Linked DNA regions of Canis lupus familiaris. The protein of the gene in region 4 purifies or fractionates together with the protein of the main gene of each other region. This does not show direct contact. Links are inferred from orthologs where the notes say so. Each region holds a gene or a part of one and is shown on either strand. Other genes may lie near its edges.

Region 1 (6,081 bases), on a different chromosome or scaffold from region 4:
GGCCCTACCAGTGTGGCGAGTGCGGCAAGGCCTTCAAGCGCTCGTCCCTGCTGGCCATCCACCAGCGTGTGCACACGGGCCTGCGGGCCTTCACGTGCAGCCAGTGTGGGCTCACCTTCAAGTGGTCCTCACACTACCAGTACCACCTGCGGCTGCACTCGGGCGAGCGGCCATACGCCTGCGGGGAGTGTGGCAAGGCCTTCCGGAACACGTCGTGCCTGCGGCGCCATCGCCACGTGCACACTGGTGAGCGGCCCCACGCCTGTGGCGTGTGTGGCAAGAGCTTCGCGCAGACCTCCAACCTGCGGCAGCACCAGCGTGTACACACGGGCGAGCGGCCCTTCCGCTGCCCACTCTGCCCCAAGACCTTCACGCACTCGTCCAACCTGCTGCTGCACCAGCGCACCCACTCGGCGGAGCGCCCCTTTGCCTGCCCCATCTGCGGCCGCAGCTTCGTCATGGCAGCCTACCTGCAGCGGCACCTGAGGACGCATGCCCCGGCCCCCGCAGCTGCCGGCCCCGCAGCCCCCGCCACCAGCTCCCAGCCCCCTGCCCCGCTGGTGGCGGCCCCAGCCCCATCCACCACCCAAGATGTCCATGTGCTCCCCCATCTCCAGGCCACACTCTCCCTCGAGGTGGCAGGGGGCCCGGCTGCGGCCCCACCCCCGGGCCAGGCAGCCCCCAACTCCCAGACTTTTCTCCTGGTGCAGACGGCCCAGGGCCTCCAGCTCATCCCTAGCAGCGTCCAACCCCCTACACCTGCGCCCCCACCTCCTCCCCCCAAGCTCATCCTGCTGCCCTCCTCCGGTACTGGTGCTGGGGGCCGCCGCGGAAGGCAGGGCACACGTGCAGCAGGGAAATCTGGTCAGGGGCCTGGAGTAGTATGGCTGCCGGGTCCTGGGGGGTTGGGGGTCCAGGGAGGGGGCAACGCAGGGGCCAGTGGGGGAGGGCAGAGCCTCATTGTTCTGCAGAATGTAGGGGGTGGGGAGGCAGGGGCACAGGAAGTGAGCGGGGTCCAGCTCCAGCCCCTCCGGCCAGCCCCCGAGGTGACCACGGTCCAGCTCCAGCCCACCCAGGAGGTGACCACAGTCCAGCTCCAGCCGGCTCAGGAAGTGACCACAGTCCAGCTCCAGCCTGTGGCAGGCCAGCTCTCCAATCCCAGCGGGGGAGCTGTGACTCCTGAGGCCCCCAATCTGCTGGTGGTTCAGAGTGGAACAGCTGAGGAGTTGCTGGCAGGTCCAGGCTCTGGGGAGCCAGGTGATGGTGAGGCCAGTGCTGGTGTTGTCCAGGATGTGCTGTTTGAGACACTGCAGACAGACGAGGGGTTGCAGAGTGTCCTGGTGCTGAGTGGGGCAGATGGGGAACAGACCCAGCTGTGTGTGCAGGAGGTAGAGACCCTCCCTCCTGGGCTGGCCGAGCCTCCAGCCCCTGGCCCTCCAGGACAGAAGCTGCTCATCATCCGCAGTGCACCTGCCACTGAACTGCTGGACAATAGCAGCGGTGGGGGAGGTGCTGCCACACTGCAGCTGCTGGCCCCCCCCCAACCTGGCCAAGCCTCTGCCCCAGTGGGCATCTCCACAGCTCCCACCTCCCAGATGGTACAAGTGGTACCCACTGGCGCTGCACCTGGAGGTATGACCCCACAGGGCCTACCCTCCATCCAGATTGTCCAGACTCTGCCCGCAGTCCAGCTGGTGCATACATTTTGAGGAGAACCACTGGGACTTAAGTGTGCCCTACACAGAGACCCCAACTCGCTGGGCTGGGCTGGGCTAGAGGGAGGGGAGCTGCAGGCTGGGCTTGCTAATAAAGACTGGAAACTTCTCTCCCGTATTTTATGTTCTTGGGGGCTGGTTGGGGTGGGGGGAATGTCATGGCCATAGCCACCGCTTGGGACCTTGAGGGTCTTGTATCTCTTGCTTCCTGGCTCGCAGGTGACTCACTTGGAGATTTTTGGCCAGCCGCTTCTAAGTGCGGTTCTTTTTGTCATTTTACAAAGGGATGCAGCGGTCCCTATCGTGGGGAGGAGTTGGGATCTAGAATTGTGGTTTTGTCACGTGTTCGCTGTAAGTCACCCCATCCCTCCCCGCATCTGAAAAATGGGCGCGTGGGAATCCTCCCGGAGGTCCCGGAGAGCACAGGTAGTTCGCAGCAGCGGAGGTTCCTGGGGCCGGGAGGTTACGAGGAGCGAGTCCAGAGTGCGGCCCCTCCCGCGAAGGCCCCGGAGCCAATGAGAGCCGGCCCGCTCCCGTCGCCGCGCACCCCCGCCTCTCCGCTTGCTTAGCAACCGGCGAAGGTCAGGTAGCGAACGTGCGCTCCTCCTGTGCGGGCCGGGTGAGTACGGGTCTGCGCTCCGACCCCAGCCCTAGGGGGTCGCTGCTCCCAGCTCCGGGCCTCTCCGCGGCGCGCGCCCGGGCCCCGCCACCTGCCCCAGCCGGGACGCTTGGCAACTGTTGCTAAGGCAGGCTGCACACCCCGCCCCTCCATGCGCGGTGTGACGTCACTTCCGCAAGCGACCCCCTTCACTACCCTGCAGCCCCCGCACCTGGTGGAAGGCCCGAAGCGGCCTGCCGAGGTTCTCGCGGTGCCTGCTCCTGCGGCGCGGGTCGGGGACGCCTGCGGGGCAGGGAGCGTGGTCCAGGCGCTGGCTGCTGGGGGTGTCCCGCTGACTCCCCAGGGCCGTCCGGGAGCCTGGGAGGGAGCCCCGGGTGGCAGGGTGCTGGACCTCGCCTGGGGAGCCCCAGCCTCCAGGGTCCCGGTCAGGGTCCCGTTGCTGCTGGTCCTCCCTGTCTGGGGCGCCTCCCTGACGCCGGCCTGCTTGTTTTCACCAGGTGCACGCCTGCGCCCTTTGGGGGCGCGGGAGCCTGGCGGCGGCCATGGCCCCCAACCACCTGTCAGTGCGGGAGATGAGGGAAGATGAGAAACCCTTGGTGCTGGAGATGCTGAAGGTGAGAGCGCGCGGGGTGCCTTGTGCGTGGCTTCAGCCACTTGCCAGAGCCAGCCCGGACTCCTGGGACCCGTTCTTTTCCTTCTGGCTCGGTCCCTTTCCTTTCCGGTTCCGCAGAGGTTTTAGGGGTGCCTGACTGGTTGGGTCTTGACCTCAGGGTCATGAGTTCAAGCCCTACTTTGGGTTTAGAGATTTTATTTTTAAGTTTAAAAAAATTTTTTTTTACATTTTTATTTATTTATGATAGTCACACAGAGAGAGAGAGAGAGAGAGAGAGAGAGAGAGGCGCAGAGACACAGGCAGAGGGAGAAGCAGGCTCCATGCACCGGGAGCCTGACGTGGGATTCGATCCCGGGTCTCCAGGATCGGGCCCTGGGCCAAAGGCAGGCGCCAAACGCTGCACCACCCAGGGATCCCTATTTTTAAGTTTTAATAGATGGAGGGCGGTGGAAGAGCATGGTCCCAGCTCCCTCCATAGTTTGCAGACTCCAGCCAAAGCCCAGCCTCCTCCTCAACACTCTTCAAAGCAGAAAGATCCCTTGGGCCTCAGCCTGGCCCCTCCTGAGCCCACCTCTTGCTGCCCGGAGCTTGCTCCTGCTCTGAACTGGGGCAGTCCTCTGCCCTGTGGCCTCAGTGTCCCCCACAGCTCCTAACTCACTCACTTGCTCAAGGCCCAGGGTGGTAGGGCAGATGCAATCCTATTCCCTGCTGTTCCTTGGCCCCATCACAATGCCTTCTCATTTGGGAGCTCCCACTCCTCCGCCCCTTTCCCGGGCACAGCCCACCCCACTCCTCCCGGATGCCCAACAGCCCGATGTATGGCCCAGGACCCTGGCTCTGACAGCAACTTCTGCCCACAGGCTGGTGTGAAGGACACAGAGAACCGTGTGGCCCTCCATGCCCTAACACGGCCACCAGCCCTGCTCCTCCTGGCTGCAGCCAGCAGTGGTCTGCGCTTCGTCCTGGCCTCCTTCGCCCTGGCCCTCCTCCTGCCTGTGTTCCTGGCTGTGGCAGCCATGAAGCTTGGCCTGCGGGCCCGATGGGGCTCACTGCCTCCACCGGGCGGCCTGGGGGGCCCCTGGGTGGCAGTGCGCAGCTCGGGTGATGTGTGTGGCGTCCTGGCCCTGGCCCCAGGGTCCAGTGCTGGGGATGGGGCCCGGGTCACCCGCCTCTCTGTGTCTCGCTGGCACCGCCGCCGAGGTGTAGGCCGGCGGCTGCTGGCCTTTGCCGAATCCCGGGCGCGAGCCTGGGCAGGAGGCATGGGAGAGCCCCGGGCCAGGCTTGTGGTCCCTGTGGCGGTGGCAGCGTGGGGCGTGGCAGGGATGCTGGAGGGCTGTGGCTACCAGGCTGAAGGGAGCTGGGGCTGCATGGGCTACACACTTGTGCGGGAATTCAGCAAGGACCTGTGAGGACTCTGGACCCTGGAGGAAGGGAGAGCACTTAATGAGCAGCTACTGTGTGCGGGTTGAGTCCCCAGGCCTGCATAAGGCAGGACACTCCACTGCAGGCTGACGGCTCTCTGTAGGCTTGAACTTTTCGCAGAGGTCAACCTGTCCAGCCCCCTGACCCGGATTTTGTCTGCACTGAGAAGTCTCCTCTGTCCGTCTGCCAAGGTTGCACAATTTATGCTACAGGCCTGGGCGAGATCAGTCGGGAGGAGGACAGGAGGCCCGCAAGTGTGCCCACCCCCATGGGTTAGGACCTGCGGTCAGGGGCACCCCAAATGGGGACGAGGCCCTCCTGGGAACGGGGAGGGGCTTGATGTCTGCACAGAGGGGATGAGCAGAGCCCTTACAGGGGAAGGGAGTCTGACCAGAGCAAGGCCCTGGCAAGGATGGAGGGCACAGGGCTGCCCATGCCAGGCCCCTCCCCAGAAGGTGAGCTGAGAGGGGCGCCAGCCAAACCCATCTGGTTTTTTACACCCGATTGTTAATAAAGCCTGAAACTGCTGCACGTCCGTCTCTCTCTCTCTCTCTGATGCCTTTTCCAGTCTGTCTCTGACTAGCCTCCCCACTGTCTGGCTTCTCCTTTTCCCTGACTTGACGTTAATTGTTGCTGGGGGTGCTGGACAGGGAGAAGGGGAGGCAATGAGCTCACGGCAGCCCCACTCCCTGCCAGCCCTCTGACTCATGCTCCCCATTACCGAATTTTTTCCGCCTCACAGCTGCCTGGTGCCGAGTGGGGGGCGGGGGCAGGGTGTGTGTGTGTGTGCGTGTGTGTGTGTGTGTGTGTGTGTGTGTGTGTGTGTGTGTAGTCCCCCTCCCTCAACCAAGACTCAGCCCTTAGTCCTGCTGGCCCCTTCCACCCCAGTTTCCCCAGGGTTCAGCCACTGCTCCCTCAGACGGGGGACTCAAGGTTTTGCATTCAACCCCACCAGGGGGAACCCATAGGGCTTCCTCAGTCTTCCTTCCCAATCCAGGAAGTCCTTCCTGGTTTCTGGCTCTGAGCCCTCTTGCTGCTGAACTGTGAGCCCCAGCTGCACCAGGTCCCCAAACCCCATCTCTCAGTCTGCTCTACCCCGGTGTCGCCATGTTCCCTGGCTGGACAAGAGGCAGACGGGTGGGTGCTTGTGCATGCCCCTGTGGGTCCCAGCAGCCTCCAGCCCGCCCTACCCTATGCATCTCTAAGCACAGCAGGGCGACCAGCCTGGAGGCTCCCTGGCTCCCTGTGGGAGTTTGCAGTTGGACACCCTCCCTCCCCTCCGCCACCACCCCCCTCCTCCCCAGATCTCATCAGCCGGCCAGCCCCCTCCCTGCCCCCACTCCTGTCCCCTGCTGCCTCCTCGGCAGGCAGCCTCTCTTCCTTCTGGCAGAGCGTCCGGCCACTGCCTGCTCCTCCCCGGTCCAGGGCTCCTCTGGCAGGCGCTTCCCTCCCTCCCTCCTTCCCTCCCTCCCTCCGGTGCCGGTGGCGGTAGCGGTATCGGTGGCCACAGCCTCCTCCCCTCTCCTGCTTGCGTCCCCTTTCACCCCGTCCCTGCCCTGGACTCTGCAAACATGAGGGTCTTGGCCTGCCTCCTTGGTGAGTGACCCCTTCTCCTTGGGGACTTGGGGACCTCTGACCCCATATACTTAAGCAACGCAGACTTCCGGGGCCGTGTCCCTGGTGCTTGGGATAAGGGACATCTGGTCCTCGTC
Region 2 (5,098 bases), on a different chromosome or scaffold from region 4:
GATTTGAGAGCAGATAACTCACTTGAACCTAAATGAGATTTCAAGACACAAAGACCATGAAAAAGGAAAATGGACTCAAATATGGCCAGTTGTTTCTGTTATTTTCATAGTGTAAACATCCAGAAAATAAATACTTAGGTATCCTGAAAAATGTCCAGTTCTGAACCACTTTTGGAATTGCAGAGACCACAGAGATTCAGGAGTTTTACCAATTAAATCCACACTGAGTTCTCTGGCCAACAATAGTTTTTGTATAGATGGATTATTTTGAAGTCTTTTGCAACATGAGTCATTTTTTCAATTTAAAGTTCACAAATATCACTTTGTATTTGTAAGCATGTTGGTTGCAGTCATCACAAGTTTCTATACTATAGTTAAAGCCATAATCACCCGGGAAGGAGGGAGCATGTCAGAATCCCTGGGAGGCTTTATCCACTCAGTTTCCATCTTCAAGACTTCTGTTCCTTCTCAGGGCACCTGGCTGGCTCAGTCAGTAGAACATGCAACTTTTGATCTCGAGGTCATGAGGTCAAGCTTCACAGTTTAGAGATCACTAAAAAAAGAATAAGTACAGTTAAAATTCTGTTTTCTCCCACTAAGGACCCCTGCTCTAGGCTACTTAATGTGTGGCAGGATAGGAAATAACAGCTGGGAACCACTGGTGTAAGGACTTCCAGTGTCAAAAATTGGAAGACCCCTGGGTCCCTGCCCATCTTTTTATTGCTGAATTTTACAGAGTTACAGTTTTGTTGCACCAGGAGACGGAGTGGCTGGGTTCAGTTCTGTCCCAGGTACTCTACACTTTGAAATACATAGTAGCAGTACAGACAAGTCAATGCACAGCACCAGGTTTTATTCTTGAGCACCTACTCTGAGCCAGGCCATGTTCTAGGCACTGCAGGCACAGCAGTGAATAGACAGACACAATTGTGTCTTGTGACATTTACCTCAAAAGTGACAAAGAGGGCACCATATGACTAAACAAATGAGATCATGACATAGTGATACATGCTATCAAGACAATGAAACAGGACCTGGAATAGAGAATGGCTGGGAGAGCGGTGGGTTCATTGTCCAGAAAAATCATGAACAAAGTCTCCAAGCTGACAATGTTGAGTAGGAGCTGGCTAGGTAGAGACTGATTAGAGATCCAAGGCAGGAACAAGTCTGGAGACAAAAAAAAAAAAAAAAAAAAATTCTTGAAGCTCTCAAAGAGAGCTTGTTTTCTAGAAGGACCACACAGGCCTGTGTGGTTAGTGATGGGGAACTCCAGGAAGGCAGGTTTTAGGACTCCAGGGTATGGAGGTGAAGCTGGACCAAGAAGGGTACATCCAGAGAATGGCAGTCCTGCTCACCATCACCGGGGGGCCCTCAGGTTCTTCTTCACAGGGCCACTGAATCACTTCTTCTACCTCTTCATGGAACACTGGATTCCTCCTGAGGTCCCTTTGGCTGGGGTCAAGAGGCTTCTCCTGGACCGCCTCCTCTTTGCACCAGCTTTCCTGCTATTGTTCTTCCTCATCATGAACTTCCTGGAGGTTGGTCTCTGCCATAGCTCCTTGTCTGGCACAGCAGCTCTTAACTTGGCATCTGTGGGTGGAATTGAGAGGGTCTGTGAACTTTTCAGTACACTCAAACTGAAATTTTTCACTTCTCTGTGTATAAACATCAACGTAAACCACAGTTGTACTGGCAGTAAGTGTTGGTCCACAGTAAGAAGTCACAAATATCTTGATATCACACATCATTTATCCTCGACAGGATATCTTTTGTTCTGTGACTCCTCGTACTTGCCTTCAAGGCTCATTACTGAATAGGTTAATATGGAAGCACATCTACTGGTCTAGGATTCTTTTCCTGAATATTTTGAAAAGTATATTTCAGTACAGTAGTGTAGTTGATATATTTTATTTTATAAACAGGATTCTCAGAAGGGGGTCCGTGAGATTCATGAAACAGAAATTTTAGGCCCCTGATGGTATTGCAGAAGCCTATGCTAACTCAATGCCTGAACATCACAAGTGCTCTGAAGAGGTTAACGTATCAGCGTAGACTTAAAACATTAAAACCCACCACATGAGAGGTGTGTTCACCTCTAATCACCAGGCATGTCTGTTCACTGTGCTTAGCCAAAGTCCCTTCCCAGTTCACTAGCACCTCCACCCATCTCTCCATTCACTGTGTATACCCTGGATGTGTTACCCTGGATGTGTCATGTTCTGCTCTGAAAGTAATTGTTCCAACCAATCACAGCAGGTAAATCCTTCTTCAGGTTTTATTTTGAAACAGCATCTTGAGTTTTTGTTCCTGAGAACACCTCTTGTGGTCTAAAGCATTCCTGGGGGGAAGCAGGAAAGATGCTTCAACTTAACTGGTTAGTAATGAATCCCTGATAGTAAAAAGAAGTGTCAGAGAAGCTCTTAGGAAATCTGAGGTAGCAAAGTGTGTAAAGTACCCAACAAATAAATGATATATGTGGGACATTATACCACACACACTACAGATACCTCTGCATCTGCATTAAAAAAATTGGGGGGGTGGGGCAGCCTGGGTGGCTCAGCGGTTTAGCGCCACCTTCAGCCCAGGGCATGATCCTGGAGACCCCGGATTGAGTCCCATGTCGGGCTCCCTGCATGGAGCCTGTTTCTCTACCTGTATCTCTGCCTCTCTCTCTCTCTCTGTCTCTCATAAATAAAAATAAATAAATAAATAAAATAAAATAAAATAAAATAAATAAAATAAATAAATAAAATAAATAAAATAAAATAAATAAAATAAATAAATAAAATAAATAAAATAAAATAAATAAATAAAATAAAATAAATAAAATAAAAAATAAAATAAATAAAATAAAATAAATAAATAAAATAAAATATAAAATAAAATAAATAAATAAAATAAATAAAATAAAATAATAAAATAAAATATAAAATAAGATAAAATAAAATAAATAAAATAAAATAAAATAAAATAAAATAAAATAAAATAAAAACATTAAGGGGCAGCCCGGGTGGCTCAGAGGTTTAGCGCCACCTTCAGCCCAGGATGTGATCCTGGGGACCCTGGATCGAGTCCCATGTCCGGCCCCCTGCATGGAGCCTGCTTCTCTCCTCTGCCTGTGTCTCTGCCTCTCTCTCTTTCTGTATCTCTCATGAATAAATAAATAAAATCTTTTAAAAAAATAACAAAAAAATTTTTTAATTTGAATATAGTTGACAATGTTATGTTAGTTTCAGTTATACAGCACAGTGATTCAGTTTCTCTATACATTACACTATGTGTACCACAACTCTTATTATAATATCATTGACCCTATTCCCTGTGTTGTGTCAACGTCCAGCATTTTTTGATCACAGATACCATATCTGGACTGCACAGTATTCCACCATTTGCCTGTCTCTTTTGTGTAAGGATTCCTGTTTGGTTAATTCCTAGAATTGTCCAAAAAGGCTGTCCTTGCTTGTCCTTCCTGCAGTGGTACAGAACAGTATAGACAACTGACATTTATTGAGCACTTGTTCCAAGCTCTGCATTGAGTGCTTTGTGTCATCTGAGCCGCAAGTCAACCCCATATTTGAGGAAGCTAAGGCCCACAGCATAAGTTGCCATAACTTGCAAGCCTGTGAGTCCAGTCAAACCCAGGCTTTATGATCCCAGAGCACTTAACCCTCGCAGCTTTGTCCAGTGTGGTTGGCTTCCACACACTCTTGATAACCATGATTGTATTTTTCTTTTAAATAGTTTGCAATTTGACACATAAAAAATAACGTATACATCTTTACTTATGAGATTGAACTTTTTATATGCTTGCTGTATTTCTTCTATGAACTGTTTATTTTTTATCAGTGTTTGCTTTTTTCTCACTGATTTGTATATTTGTGTATATTAAGGATCTCAATCCTTTGCCAAATACAGACTGCAGATACTTTTCCCATTTTTCAAGTTTTTGTCTTTTAGCTACAGATAAAGTTAAACATTTGAAGTTACATAAATAAAGCTTATTTATAGTGTGTTACTCCATACAGGAGTTTAAAAAATATATGTACTCAAATCTGTCATTCTTTTCCTTTGTGGGCTTCCTTCAAGGAAAATACTGGGAATATTCTCCTATAGTTTGTTTTATGATTTTATTGTGTACATTTTGATAAACAGATAAATAGAAATAGTCTAGTATCCTTTTTTATTTATATGTGGGAGATATACTTGTCTTGTTTCTTTCCATTTAATAGCAGATTGTCTTGTTACCATTTATTGAACAATCTCCTGTACTTTGAAACATCCACTTTATCACTCTCTCATTCCCATACATGCTGGCCTTTATTTGGACCTCTGATCTTTTGCTGAATTCTATTGATTTCCATGGTATGGTGGGTTTTTTTTTTTTTTAGCTTTTACCATCATTTCAAAGTATTTTTTAAATTTTTAGTGATTTAGGCCTCCCCTTGCTATTCTTTTTCAAGATGGCTATTCTTATGCTCTTATCTTTTAAAAGGCAAAAGATTATACAATCTGAAAAGAAACCAGAGTATTGCACTTACTTTTAGAATCAATTTATTGGGGTTCAATTTTTAAACACTTCAAGTTTTGCCTGAAAAATCCATCAGTTTTTTAGATTATTTTGAGAACTGACAGCTGAGCCATAAATAGCTGCCCCTGGCCAGCAGCACAAATCCCACCATTCAGTCAGCTCTGTAAAGAGTGATGAAAGTCCATGAGGGCCATCAGTACAGTGTCAGCAAGTGGGCTATCTCACTCTTGATTTCTCAACCATGCGGTTGGCTCCTGATAGCTGCAACACTAATTAGGCACACAGGTGTGCTGTCTACGTACAAATTGAATAAAATCCAGGTTTTAAAAATCATCATGTTAGGGTTTGGGGCCCTCCAGACCTTGCAACCCCAGCTTGTTTTGATGGCAGTAGCAACTGCTCACCATCCATACTCCTCTCCTTTCCAGGGGAGAGAGACAGCTGCTTTCGCTGTCCAGATAAGGAGAAGCTTCTGGCCAGCACTGTGCATGAACTGGCGAGTCTGGACCCCAGTGCAGTTCATCAACATCAACTACGTCCCTTTGCAGGTGAGGGCCAGCTGGCACCATG
Region 3 (6,255 bases), on a different chromosome or scaffold from region 4:
TTAAATGTGTGATTCTTGGTAATGGCTTAAGTCGTGGTCTCGGGATCATGAGATGGAGTTACGCTCAGGTTGGAGTCTGCTTGGGGTTTCTCTCTCTCCCTCTTCCTCTCCCCCTCCATACCACATGTACTCTCTCTCTCAAATAAATATTTTAAAAAATTAATAAAACTAAAAATGAGAAGTTCTAGGGGCCTGGTTAGCTTTGTCAGTAGAGCATATGAATATTAATCTCAGGATCATGAGCTCAAGCCCCAAGTTGGGTGAAGAGTTTACTTAAAAAAATAAAATAAATGAATTAGCTATAAAAAGAAATGGGAAGTCCTAGCAATACTGATCTTACATGTAAGCCATCAGCTAGGGCTAAAAAGCAGAATCCACCTTTGCACAGAGAATGAACTCTCCAGTTTGCCACATTGTGTTCTCTACACTGAGGCAAATTCTTACTGGTAGATTAAAAAAATAAAATATTTTTGTAACAATGTCTTAATTCAAAGAAAACAGAAAAGTAGACCAAGAAAGGATGTATTTCTTTGAGGAAGTGAAAAACATTCCATGGTTTTTAGTAGAACTACAAAGTTTATCTGTTGAAGGAATATATCTTAAACCAGAATTATGCAATAACTCCAGAGGGTGTATGATTTTACAATCTCTCATCTAGTTTGGCTGCATCCAACATTATCGAAGATATTGAATAGTACTAGGTCTCCTTTGCGGTTTGAGTTGATGTAAAAGGCACATCTGTTTACTTCCAAATTGACCTTAAAGGTCTAAGAAAAATTCAAGGTATTGCTATTAGTTATGCAGCTTGTGCCGACCTGGTTAAGATCTACATGATACAGGCCTGTAAGAAGTGCCCTTCCATCCCTTAATGTAGTCCTCACATAACTAACTTCAGCTTTCAAAGCACCTCTTGTCCTATCTTGCCTCATCAGACCTTTAAAGTGGGTAGGGGTGGGATTCCACGGATGCTGAGCCAGAGTGACTTCCCAGGTACACATACAGGTAGTCTGGGAAAAGCAGACACCAGACCCAGACCCCTCTGCCTTGTCCAGGCCTTCTGGAGGGGGACAGAAGCAGATGGCAGAAGGAAAAAAAAAAAAAAAGTGTAATTGAAAAAGAGATCTAAACAGAGGTGGCAGTTTGAAGGGTCAGGGAAAGTGCAAAGGAAGTCAGACAGTGAAGGGTAGAAATAAGGCAGTGGAAAGGGTGAGGGACTACCTCCAAGGAGATGAGCTGAGGCAGCATGTCTGTCAGTGGCCTCGGGGGAACCCCATTCCACCAATGGCAAAATGGCCCAGAGAGGAGGTGGTTTGTCCAAGGACGTCCAGCACTTTTCCAGGTGGGCACTGGACCCTGAACCCAAGTATCCCGATCCCAGTCCAGGATTTTCCCTCTGTCTATCAAGGGATGTCGGGCCAATGGGCCTGAGGCAGGTAGGGGTACAGTCACCACCTGAGTGGATGGAAAGCTCTGCCCAAGGCTGGTAGCGCCATTAACCGTCAAAGTCTCAGGTGGCCAAGTCCAAACAATCCTAACAAGCGACTCTGAAGCCCCGATTTTCACGTGGCTGAAGCCTTTCACAACTTACAGCTCCAGACGGCATCAGAAATACCTAACCACACTATTCAGGGTCTTTCGGAATCTCCTGAGAGATGGTCAGGCGCTCTTGAAAACGTCATGGAAGGAATCAAACATCAGACGCCCGATATTTTGGAACGGCCACAATCTCCTAAGAAATACTCTGGAATATGGGAGACTATGGGAAAGTGGTTTAGGAAACAGACGAAAACTGCCAATTGGCATTCGGGAATTTCCGGAGCTTCTCGAGGAGCCCTCGGGACCTCTCGGCAATTTGCGATCTTATTCAGGAGCCTTGGGTCTGAGCAGATCCATTCGTCGCCCACAGCGTTCAGAGCGACAGCCTCTCGGCCATTTACGGAAGTGTTCGGGATTGCTCGAGAGTGGCGCCCTCTGACGGCGGGAACTGTCACCACGAGCACCCCGGTGACAGAACGCGCAAAACGCGCAGACGCAGCTGCGCGCCCGCGGCCGTTCAGACCGGACGTGGTTGCTGCTGAGGTCATTTCCGGCGGGTGACGGTGCGGACGGGTCAGAAGCGTAGAGGCGGCGGCAAAATGGCGGCGCCTGAGGAGCGGGATCTAACCCAGGAGCAGACAGAGAAGCTGCTGCAGTTTCAGGTAGCAGCGAGTACTCGGTGCAGGAAATGCCGTCACGGGCTGGGGAGTGGGCCCCTGTTGGAGCCCAGAACCTCCCTCAGATTGGGCCCGAGATTCTCCTCAGATCAGCGGCGGCCCCCTCCCCCCCAGACGCCAACTGCCCTGCTGCTCCCGGCCCCCGAGCCTCTGTCGGTCCTCCGCCTTCCAGCCAGGACTGCGGCCCTCTCATCACCCCTCCGCGGGTCAGCTTCTCTGGTTTCCCTTAGCAACACCCGTTCTCTACCATTCTTCCCAGCCCAGTTACCCGTCGGACCCTCTCCGCCCTTCGACTCTAGTACTACCCAGATGCTTAATCCCCACCGCGGAGCTGGCCTCGTTTCGGGTCTCTGGAAAACCTACCAGGATCCCATGCTATTTCTGCAAATATATATTGATGGCCTCTTGGGTGCCTGGTCCTGTGTTGGGCGCTCTGGTGGGGGAGGTGGCAGACCTGGCCCCCGCCCTAAAGGTGTGGGAGGACACCACCTAAGGAAACCAGGCAACAATTTTAAGTATCAGTGGCTTCTGACGGGGTTTACTACCCTGGGCTTATTCCTGGACTCACGTTCTTGACAGTGCTTGACGTGGGTGGTAACTTGCAGAAATCTGCCTCCTTTTAGTGGTAGTCGTGTTAAGAACTTTTGGCACTAAGCACTTACTTCTGAGTTGGAGAAAACGATTGGAGGAGACCAATAGGGTGGGTAACCTTGGCCCTTTATCACCCTAATGGATACCAGTTTCCTTATTTCTAAAGTACTTCTCGTAAAAATGTCTACCCCCTAAGGATATCGTGAGCTTAAAATGAGTTTATGGATCTATGAAGGGCTTTGTAAACTGTGAAATGTTCCCAAGCGGTATTGCTACTATTCATCATTATTTAACTTAGGATAGAGTAAGTTAGTGGTACACTTTCTTCCGAATATAAAATGTGCTGAATATTCATTAATTTGGCATTATTTACCAAGAACCTTAGTGCTCAGGCACTGCTAGTTCAAATATCATTTATGGAGTACTTACCATGCTGTAAATACTTTGCTAAACACATAACATACTAGATCGTATTTAATACTACAAACCTTGAGATTCATGCTGTTACAAGGCCTATTTTACAGATGAGGAATATGAGGCTTAAGGAAGTAACATACTTAGGTTTCATAGCCAGTAAGTGGTAGTATCAGATTTAAAGCCAGATCCATCTTTCCAGAACCTTTCCTGAGCTCTTGACTTGAGAAATTGAGGACACAGCAAATTAGGATCAGAATGAATTAAACAATAGACAACCGGCTTCCTCTTCTTGGTGGACCACTTATTTCAAAGTTTTGTTTAATTTGGCAGGACATTTTACCCCTTACAGCTCTTTAGGGATAAGGTTCCAGATTAAGTATTCTGAGGTGATATGAATTATGTCATGATATACTTGGGCTGATGCTCCGAAGACATGAAAACGTAGTATTTCTGAGGTACAGTACATGGATACCTCTGTTTTGTCTTCATTGGACGCTTATATTGGTAAGAGGTGAGTAGTAGGTTAAAGTTGTATTAAGATTGCTTTGTGAGGAGTACCTTGATTGGCTTAGTCAGTAGAGCATGCAACTCCTGATCTTAGGGTTGTGAGTTCAAGCCTCACATTGGAGGTAGAACTTACTTTAAAAATAAAACCAAAAAAGTAGATTGCTTTGTGAAATTGGATTTACCAAGGCAAATGCATTTTGCATTTTTGTGTTCTTTAAGCAGTTGCTGGATCAGGTTCATCATTCAATTGCCATTGAACGTTCTTTGAAACTTACTAGATGTCAAGCATTATACCAGATATTTAATGTATTTTAACTCTTAAACCTCTTAACACTAAGGAATTAAGCCTCATTCGTTTTGTTAATGAAGAAACGGATTCTGAGAGATTAAATAACTCACAAAAGTATTAAGTGGCAGAGATTTAGAGATCCATACCCATAATCCTCTAACGTATAACCTACTGTAGAAGCAAGCTAACATACATACGTGAATAATGAGTATCTTGCGGTATATTCGTGCTTATAGTATGCTATGATATAAACAAAGTGCTATGGGAATTTATGGAAGGATAGGAATATTCCTGGAGGTAGGAGGAGGAGAGAAGAGAGGATGACCTAGTAGTTAACCATTTATTTATTAAGTATCTACTGTGCCTTAGGCATGGTGCTTGATAGTTTATAACTATTACACTTAATTCTCAAAATAGCATTATAAAGTGCCATAGATGATAGAGCTGCTCCTAAGTGAGGAAACCGATCTATTGAAGTATTTGCCTAAGTTCATTGAGCTATTAAATAGGATGGAATTAGAATTAGAACTGTAGTGGGTCTGAATCGGACTTTAAGGCTGGGTTCTTTCCACTGTACTTTGCTAATTTTGAAGGAGGAATAGAATTTCAACAGGTAGTAGGCAGAGGGATGCTCAAAGCTGAGGAAATGGCTCAAGCAATGTATGAAGATGGAATAGTGTGGAATGTTTGTTGTGATGGATTGAGAGAATTGGAAGTGGAAAATATGATTGGAAAGGTAAATTAGAGTCAGATTTTGGAGGCCTTTCAAAGCTTTGCAAAATGATTTAAATTTTACTCTGTATACATAGGGAGCCATCAAAGGTTTTTTTCAGCTAGAGAATAGCATAACACTTAAGTTTCAGGTTTCCTTCACTAACGCTTTGGAGTGTGTGCTTGGAATATCCATAGGAGTCAGGACAGAACCGGGTGGTACTGCTAGGCACGAATTCTCAATAATATTGCTTCATTTGATGTATTGAAATTAGCAAAAGTAAAATATTTTAGAAATCTTAGGTTTCCTCTGTTTCATTTTTTTTTTTTTATGACATGTGATTTGACTGGAACTTCCCAGAGTATATTTATCGTGTTTCTCAGACCATTTGATTTTTTCTAAGATTTTTTTTTTTTTTTTTTTAAGATTTTATTATCTATTCATGACACACAGAGAGGCAGGGGGAGGAGAAACAGGCTCCATGCCTGGAGCCCGATGTGGGACTCAATCCTGGGACTCCGGGATCACGCCCTGAGCCAAAGGCTCAACCACTGAGCCATCCAGGCGTCCCTCTAAAATTTTTTTCTAATTATCCTTTTCTTCTGTTTATTTTGGAACCAATTGAATATGAATGCACATGTTTGTTTTAAGCTGTTTCAAATGGAAGAGAATAGGTCTTAAGAGTTAATGCAGATATGGGTAGGGTTACTTTATTGAACCCCATTTTCCCAAATATCCAAATATAACAGACTCCTCTAGTGCCTTGGTTTACTGCTTTTAGGTTGCTGTTTGAACACCTGGAGAAAAATGACATGGACAGAGAGAAGGGACTAAAGGAGCTATATGCAAGGCCAGGAGGAAGAAATGATTCCTTTCTGCTTTTGTATGGGAGTAAGAAATTTCCTTCCCTTCCCTTCCCTTCCCTTCCCTTCCCTTCCCTTCCCTTCCCTTCCCTTCCCTTCCCTTCCCTTCCCTTCCCTTCCCTTCCCTTCCCTTCCCTTCCCTTCCCTTCCCTTCCCTTCCCTTCCCTTCCCTTCCCTTCCCTTCCCTTCCCTTCCCTTCCCTCTCTTTTCTTTTCTTTTCTTTTCTTTTCTTTTCTTTTCTTTTCTTTTCTTTTCTTTTCTTTTCTTTTCTTTTCTTTTCTTTTCGATTTTATTTGAGAGAGAAGAGAGTGTGAGCAAGGGGGAGAGGCAGAGAGAGAAGCAGACACTGCCTAGCAGGAAGCCCTATTGTGGGGGCTTGATCTCAGGACTCTGAGATCATAACTTGAGCCAAAGGCAGATGCTTAACCTATTGAGCTATCCAGGTGCCCCAGGAGTAAGACACTTCTTTCCTTTTAAATGAATATTAAGGTGTGATCTTTGTTCTTTTAAATTATAGAAAGTTAAGCCTGAACTCTGGCCTTAGAGTCAAGCTTCTCATTCACTTTAAAAATCTCTCTTTTTGGCTTCATCTCTTTATTACCTAAAGGAGAAAGAATAATACAATGCTCTTTGTTCATGTATTTAAAAAAAAATCAGAGAGAT
Region 4 (6,245 bases):
GCTCCTCCCAGCTCTCCTGCTCCAAATAAACAAGAGTGAATGGATCATGCACTGGAGTTACTCTAGCTCTGTATGCTCTAGCAGACAAAGTAGCCCACAGGGGTTGATGCAATGGAAAACAAAGAGGGAAAGCAGAAATCTAAGTCCACAAACCTTTTCTGTAATCTCCTTCAGTGACGGGTACAGCACATCCTTGGACAGTAGGTTCTGCATGATACTCTGCATAATGGGGAGAATGTTCCCTTCCCCATCCCCTTCGTCCATGCCCAGCCCTTCCATGGCCTTGGTCAGTTCCTCCTCTGACATGCCTGAGTTCTAGAAAGGCCAGGAGAGAGGTGAGCAAATACAGATAGTCCCTAACTTAGGACCATTTTTTAACTTCATGATGGTGTGAAAGGAATGCACATTTAGTAGAAATTGTACTTCACATTTTGAGTTTGGATCTTTTCCCAGGCTAGCGAAACACAGATGATACTCTCCTGTGATGCTGGGCAGCAGCTGTGACTCCCAGGCCACCACGTGATCACCGGGGTCAACAACCGATGCACTAACAGCCATTCTATCTGCTTACAACCGTTCTGTTTTTCATATTCAGCACAGCATTCAATAAATTACATGAGATATTCAATACTTTATTAGAAAATAGGCTTTGTGGTGGATGATTCTGCCCAACTCTAGGCTTGTGTAAGTGTTCTGTAGTGTTTAAGGTAGACGAGGCTAAGCTGTCACGTTCAGTAGGGTAGGTGTATTAAATGCATTTTCAACTTATGTTATTTCCAGCCTATGATGGATTTATCAGGCTGTAGCCCCATTATAAGTTGAGGAAGATCTGTATATTGCCTTCTTGAGATGCTTACCACCCTTTCAGGTGGGAGAAAACGATTTACACTTGCAACAAAACAGTGTGGCAGGAACAGACTTTAGATGCTACCCAACAAAGTCTGTCTTTTGAGACTCTGCTGCTGATATGCCTGAGGGGTCCCTCGTGGACCCCACCCCTTTCCCTCACCTGAAGATCAGTAGCATTTTTGGCAAGTCCACTTAGTGTCTCCTTCAGGCAAGACGTAAATTCTTGTTGGGATGTCGCATCACTGCCTAAGAAAGATCAAGAAAGCCATATTAGGGGACACCTGGTGGCTCAGCGGTTGAGCATCTGCCTTTGGTTCAGGGCGTGACCCCGGGGTCCTGGGATCGAGTCCCACGTCGGGCTCTCTGCAGGGAGCCTGCTTCTCCCTCTGCCTGTGTCTCTGTCTCTCTCTCTCTCATGAATAAATAAATAATCTTAAAATAAAAAGCCATTTTAGATTTTAACTGTCTGCTTACCCAGACTGACTTGGTTATCAAGTAGATATAGATATATCTATAGATATATAGATATAGAAGATATAGAGATCTTCTATATAGTAGACATAGATATAGAACATTTACTAGTGGATCACTAGCACACCAATCTCTTGAATCCTCTGTGGTTCCTAGTCATTTTCATGAAGCTACATGAACTGCGCATGTCAGTTTATTCTCCACGATGACACCCACAACACTACGACCTTTAAAATGGTCAGTCTTCAGTCATCTTTTCAATGTCTTTTCAGCCTCCTCCCTTTCATCATACCATGTTCCCATCCCTCTTCCCACCTCCCGGCCCCTCCCCACAAGCAGTGATATGATGAGTGCTATCAGCTTTACTAAGAGACCTAGTGTTCTCAGGCAACACAGATGTCAGGACTTGGTTCACAGAGTTCCAGCCCTCTGGGCTGCCTTCTCACCCACTCTCCCTGCAGCCTCTGAGAGCTTCTGGAACTGCTCCACCAGGTGGGGCTCTTCCTCAGCCAACTCCTTCATTGCCTTCTCGAACTCTGCAGTGGCTTGGGAAGCCAGCTCGCTGTCGAACAGTTCCTGGAAAAACTTCTCTTGGGAGGCGAAGAGGGCATCCTGCAGGGAAGGGGTGGCCAAAATGCATCTCTTATTTGGCACCCCTCTGACACAAGCCACAGGCAGTGGCTCTGAGAAATGCAGTGCTTCCCTCCTGCCCGCCTCCACTGGACATTCTAACTACCTCTCTTAAGGAGAACAGTAAAAAAGGCATCTGGCCACTGAGGAAAGGGTATATATAGGATGGCATTCCCAAAACAATCATGTAAACCTACTCTTTTTTTTTTTCAAAGAACTGCCTTGAGAACCCACCTCTCCATCATGGAAAGTCCCTGTTTACCAGGACTAAGGCCTGCAAGAGCGCTCAGCACTCTAAGGCCGAGGCCTCCTCCCCCCATCCTCTCCAACCCACAGGGGCCTGCCCCACGTCTGCTCAGAGATGCACGCCCATCCCCTCCCATCCCTTAAAAGGGTGGAATTTATACTTTGGCAGTGTCTCCTGGCGATCTCTTCTGGGCCCCTGAAGCATCAGGGGCCGTGGTGGTAGGAGGGGGTGCTGGGGAGGGTTTGGCCTTATCGAAATCATCAAGAGCACCTTCAGAGACAAGAGACACAGTGTGTGTGTTGGGGGGTGGATGAGGATGCAAGGCTGCGGTGCGGGGGGGGGGGGGGGGGGCGCGTTCTGGGCAAAGCATTAGGAGAACAATCAATGTGCCAACCTTCCTAAAAAAAAAATTTTTTTTTTGAGTCTCCCTCTCCTGGCCCACCCTTCAATCAGCTTCCCCACCTCCCTCCTCATCTACCCACCCAATTTATGGTGATCAACGGTAAAAGGAATCCCTTAGGGTGGAAGAGGAGGCATCTCTCCCAGAGCCGGGAGGAGAGAATTAAGAGTTGTGCAAACGCATCTCCCACTACACAGAGGCCTCCTTGCCACACTGTAACGATTTCCCAGAAATCCCATATAAACGTCTAAGGGCAGAGAGCACACATGTCCCTCAACCCCTGGACTCACTCTGGAGACCTTCAGAGAATGATTTTTGGCAAGGAAGCGGCAGCCACATGATGTTCCACCCGGCGTCCCCTGGGTCCTGGTGTGGCACAGACTTGAGGGCTAGCACACCGGACTCCCCGGAGGGCACTGAGGTCTCTCCTCTTACCCTCCGACTCAGCCCTGCCTCAGCCCTGCCGGGGAGGGGGGCGGAGCTCCCGGAGTTCCCCGCAGCCGGCTCGCCCCTGCAGAGAATGTGCCAATGCACAGGGCCACCTGGCGCTCCTCACCGTGTCTGACCGTCCTTCTGTCTGCCCACGTCTCTGTGACTGGGCAGGAGACAGAACGTGTTCACCTCTGCCCTGAACACCTGAGTCCTCACCGCCATCCCGCCTGCCAGGCTGGGGGAGGAGGGGAGGAGGAGGGGTGGCGGGCACGACACGGGCCCTTGTGGGCAAGCAACCACCCGAGGACGGGAGGGCCGGGGCGGGCAGGAAAGAACATGCGGCCTGAGTGGGGGCGCGGGGGCGGCTCTGACGTGGCGAAGGGCAGGTGAGCGGCGGCCGCCGACCCCAGGCGCCGAAAGCCGCTGCCGGCGGGAAGTTCGGTCCCGGCACCTGCGCGGCGAGGCCAAGGCGGGCTGGGGTCGGGCCGTCCCGCGCGCTGCCGCTCCCCCTGCGGCCCGGGCACCGCCGGTCTGACCCGCCGCCGAGGACGGAGACCGCGGCCCGCGCGGCCCAGGGGCTCGCTCCGGGGTCGCAAGGAGACCCGCCGCCCCCGCCAACCCTGCGGGAGCCTCCCCCGCCCCCAGGACCTCGGGGCTCGCTTTGCCCCGGAGCGAGCCCTCACGACCGCCCGCGTCGGGCCTCTCGTCCCACGAGCTCTTACTTTCCAGGAGCTCTTCCAGTTCCCGGTCCGCGTCGGCACCGGCAGCACAGCCCTCCTCGGCGGCGGCCATCTTGCTCTGTCCGGCTTGCCGTAGGGGGCGGGGCTCCGCGGCGCTCGGCCCGCCCCTCGCCCCGCCCCTCGCCCCGCCCCGCCCCCTCGGGCAGCCAATAGCAGAGCGGGCCGGTGCGGAGCCGCCATCTTTAAAGGGACAGGAAGCTTCGTGGGCTTGTGTTTTTGTTTTCGGTGTGGGTTTTTTTTTTTTTTTTTTTTTTTTCTCCCCCTTCTCCTCCTTTCTGGCCGGGAACCGTTGAACTAACGGCATGGGTCACTTAGCAGCCCGGCTCCCTTTACCGCCGCCTCTGGCACTCTCCGGGAAGCAGCCGTTTCCTCGTCTCGCCCAGGGCACCCGGCGTTCGGGCCGCTTTCCCCCGCGGCCTGCCCGGCTCCCCGCCGCCGCCCCGCCCCGCCCCGAATTCAACCACCACGCGGGCCGGGACTCGCTCACTGCGGGGCCCTGGCGCCCTGCACCCCGCCCTGCACCTGCCCGGACCCCGGCGGGGCGCCCCCTCCCCCCCCCCCGTTCCCCAGCGGCGGGGCGGGGCGGGACCGGACGATCCAGGCCCGGCAACTGGGAAGCCGGCGCCGGCGGAGGCAGCCCCGGCAGGAAAAGCCAGTGTGCGCGCCTGGACCGAGCCGGGGACCCCGCAGACCCCGCAGCGGCGCCCCGGCCTCCCCCGAACCATCTCCTTTGCTCAGAACCCAGCGCCCAACCCAGGGATGCTGGGGCGCTCGCGTGGACGCAGGCGGACACCTGCCTTCCCTGCCGACACAGGGCGCCCCTGCCTCAGACGGAGGCCTGCGTTAGCACTTTGGGGGCATCCATTGCCTTTGGGACCCCGTGCTGGGCTCCGCGGACGTAGGGGGGTGGGGACCGCTGCTCGGGGATGAGGCTGGAGGCGGCCCGGACCGGCACACGGAGGTGTGGTGCCAGGTCCACGGCTTCGGAGAACCGTCGAGTGCTGCGGGGCGTAAAATGGGGAAATCACATCTAAATGAAGTCCCTTGGCGGCTTTCGTCCTTGGCTTCCCGAGAACACGCTGGAATGTGTGTCGAGCACCAGCTTAGGTACTCTCTGCTTCCCAGACAGGGCGCAGACTTTTTTTTTTTTTAATTATTTCATGAGAGAGAGAGGCAGGCTCCCTGCAGGGAGCCTGACGTGAGATCTGGGACTCGTTCTGGGTCTCCAGGATCAGGCCCTGGGCCTAAGGCGGTGCTGAACCGCTGAGCCCCCCAGGGATCCCCCAGACTCCTAAATCACACCTGTGCAACACGCGCTGTATTGTTCCGCCCCAAGGGCTGTGACTGAGGACAAAACATCCTGAACCCAAAGTCAGCTGAGCTAAGTCCCAGTCCCAATTCTGTAACCAACTGCTTTTGTTCAAAACCCTTCACCACTCAAGACCTCAGATGGCAACTACATAACGTTAAAGTTCTTTTCAATTCTAAATTTCCATAAGGGATCCCTCTGATTAACCCCTTTCTCCCCAACACCTGCAGAATCTATCCCAGGCTTCCTTCCTTCAACTCCAAACCACTTACATGTGTCTTTCGAATGTGACTATAGTTACATCAATCATGTTACAGGTATTTCTATTGGTTTCACATTAATGTGGTAACATTAGCATGTTAATAAGCAAAATACCAGAAATAAATGAGAACATGAAGTTGAAAACAAGCACGATTCTTCCTTTGCCTCATTTCTTAAACTTGCTCTGCTTTTCTCTCACTAGGGATACTCCTAAAACCTCATCTCCACATTTATTCATCACCTGCCTTTCTAATGTATACTGAATACTGTTGCAAAATAGTATTTTACAGCATTTTTTTTTAAAAGTAAGACTCCATGCCCAGCATGCAGCCCAACACAGGGCTTGAACTCACAACCCTGAGATCAAGACCTGAGCTGAGATCAAGAGTTGGACCCTTAACCAACTGACCCACCCAGACACCCCTACAGCATTTTCTTTATACCATCCTCTCACTTAAGGACTTAACGGCTCCTCATTGTTTATTGCCCAACTGCAAATTCTTGCCTGATATTCACAGTTATTTTACATTTATCCATTTTGTTTCCCCAACAACTTGAGCTTCAGGAAGCATAGATTGTCCTCCTTTTGTTATATCCCTCAGTTCAGAATAAAGTTTGTTTGTATCAGAGTAGTTTTGAGGGGATCCCTGGGTGGCTCAGTGATTTAACACCTGCCTCTGGCCCAGGGAGTGATCCTGGAGACCCGGGATCAAGTCCCACATCGGGCTCCCTGCATGGAGCCTGCCTCTCCCTCTGCCTGCATCTCTGCCTCTCTCTCTCTCTCTGTGTCTCTCATGAATAAATAAAATCTTTAAATGAAGTTTTGTAATATAACTTTTAAACTTATAAAAAGTGTTTTGTGGGGTTTTTTTTGCCAAAATTTATCACCAACTTGCCTCTGTTTAC

Evidence for each region.
Region 1: the proteins of PEX19 (region 4) and NAT14 purify together in Homo sapiens (co-immunoprecipitation; 3 studies listed by BioGRID and IntAct, counting the BioPlex papers as one, with this or other methods). This does not show direct contact. The link is inferred for Canis lupus familiaris from reciprocal best matches to the Homo sapiens genes PEX19 and NAT14.
Region 2: the proteins of PEX19 (region 4) and PXMP2 purify together in Homo sapiens (affinity purification with mass spectrometry; 3 studies listed by BioGRID and IntAct, counting the BioPlex papers as one, with this or other methods). This does not show direct contact. The link is inferred for Canis lupus familiaris from reciprocal best matches to the Homo sapiens genes PEX19 and PXMP2.
Region 3: the proteins of PEX19 (region 4) and FAF2 purify together in Homo sapiens (affinity purification with mass spectrometry; 4 studies listed by BioGRID and IntAct, counting the BioPlex papers as one, with this or other methods). This does not show direct contact. The link is inferred for Canis lupus familiaris from reciprocal best matches to the Homo sapiens genes PEX19 and FAF2.

What each region holds. Positions count from the first base shown.
Region 1 is NC_049222.1:102,987,022-102,993,102, reverse strand, and holds NAT14 (N-acetyltransferase 14), read left to right. Parts: upstream 1-2,437; 5' UTR 2,438-2,485; coding exon 2,486-2,575; exon of another isoform or gene 2,576-2,605; intron 2,606-2,831; coding exon 2,832-2,948; intron 2,949-3,807; coding exon 3,808-4,356; 3' UTR 4,357-4,900; downstream 4,901-6,081. Other genes in the region: ZNF628 (zinc finger protein 628), read left to right, coding at 1-1,709; soluble scavenger receptor cysteine-rich domain-containing protein SSC5D, read left to right, coding at 5,941-5,965. UniProt on the Homo sapiens protein: Probable acetyltransferase. May act as a transcription factor that regulates the expression of coproporphyrinogen oxidase by binding to a promoter regulatory element.
Region 2 is NC_049247.1:438,026-443,123, reverse strand, and holds part of PXMP2 (peroxisomal membrane protein 2), read left to right. Parts: exon of another isoform or gene 1-553; intron 554-1,034; exon of another isoform or gene 1,035-1,167; intron 1,168-1,355; exon of another isoform or gene 1,356-1,375; coding exon 1,376-1,538; coding exon of another isoform or gene 1,539-1,817; exon of another isoform or gene 1,818-2,607; intron 2,608-4,956; coding exon 4,957-5,076; intron 5,077-5,098. UniProt on the Homo sapiens protein: Seems to be involved in pore-forming activity and may contribute to the unspecific permeability of the peroxisomal membrane.
Region 3 is NC_049225.1:37,776,491-37,782,745, reverse strand, and holds the start of FAF2 (FAS-associated factor 2), read left to right. Parts: upstream 1-2,050; 5' UTR 2,051-2,135; coding exon 2,136-2,198; intron 2,199-5,510; exon of another isoform or gene 5,511-5,572; coding exon of another isoform or gene 5,573-5,620; intron 5,621-6,255. UniProt on the Homo sapiens protein: Plays an important role in endoplasmic reticulum-associated degradation (ERAD) that mediates ubiquitin-dependent degradation of misfolded endoplasmic reticulum proteins.
Region 4 is NC_049259.1:22,763,956-22,770,200, reverse strand, and holds the start of PEX19 (peroxisomal biogenesis factor 19), read right to left. Parts: upstream 3,878-6,245; 5' UTR 3,822-3,877; coding exon 3,752-3,821; intron 3,193-3,751; exon of another isoform or gene 2,937-3,192; coding exon of another isoform or gene 2,888-2,936; intron 2,468-2,887; coding exon 2,358-2,467; intron 1,933-2,357; coding exon 1,767-1,932; intron 1,096-1,766; coding exon 1,010-1,095; intron 316-1,009; coding exon 154-315; intron 1-153. UniProt on the Homo sapiens protein: Necessary for early peroxisomal biogenesis. Acts both as a cytosolic chaperone and as an import receptor for peroxisomal membrane proteins (PMPs).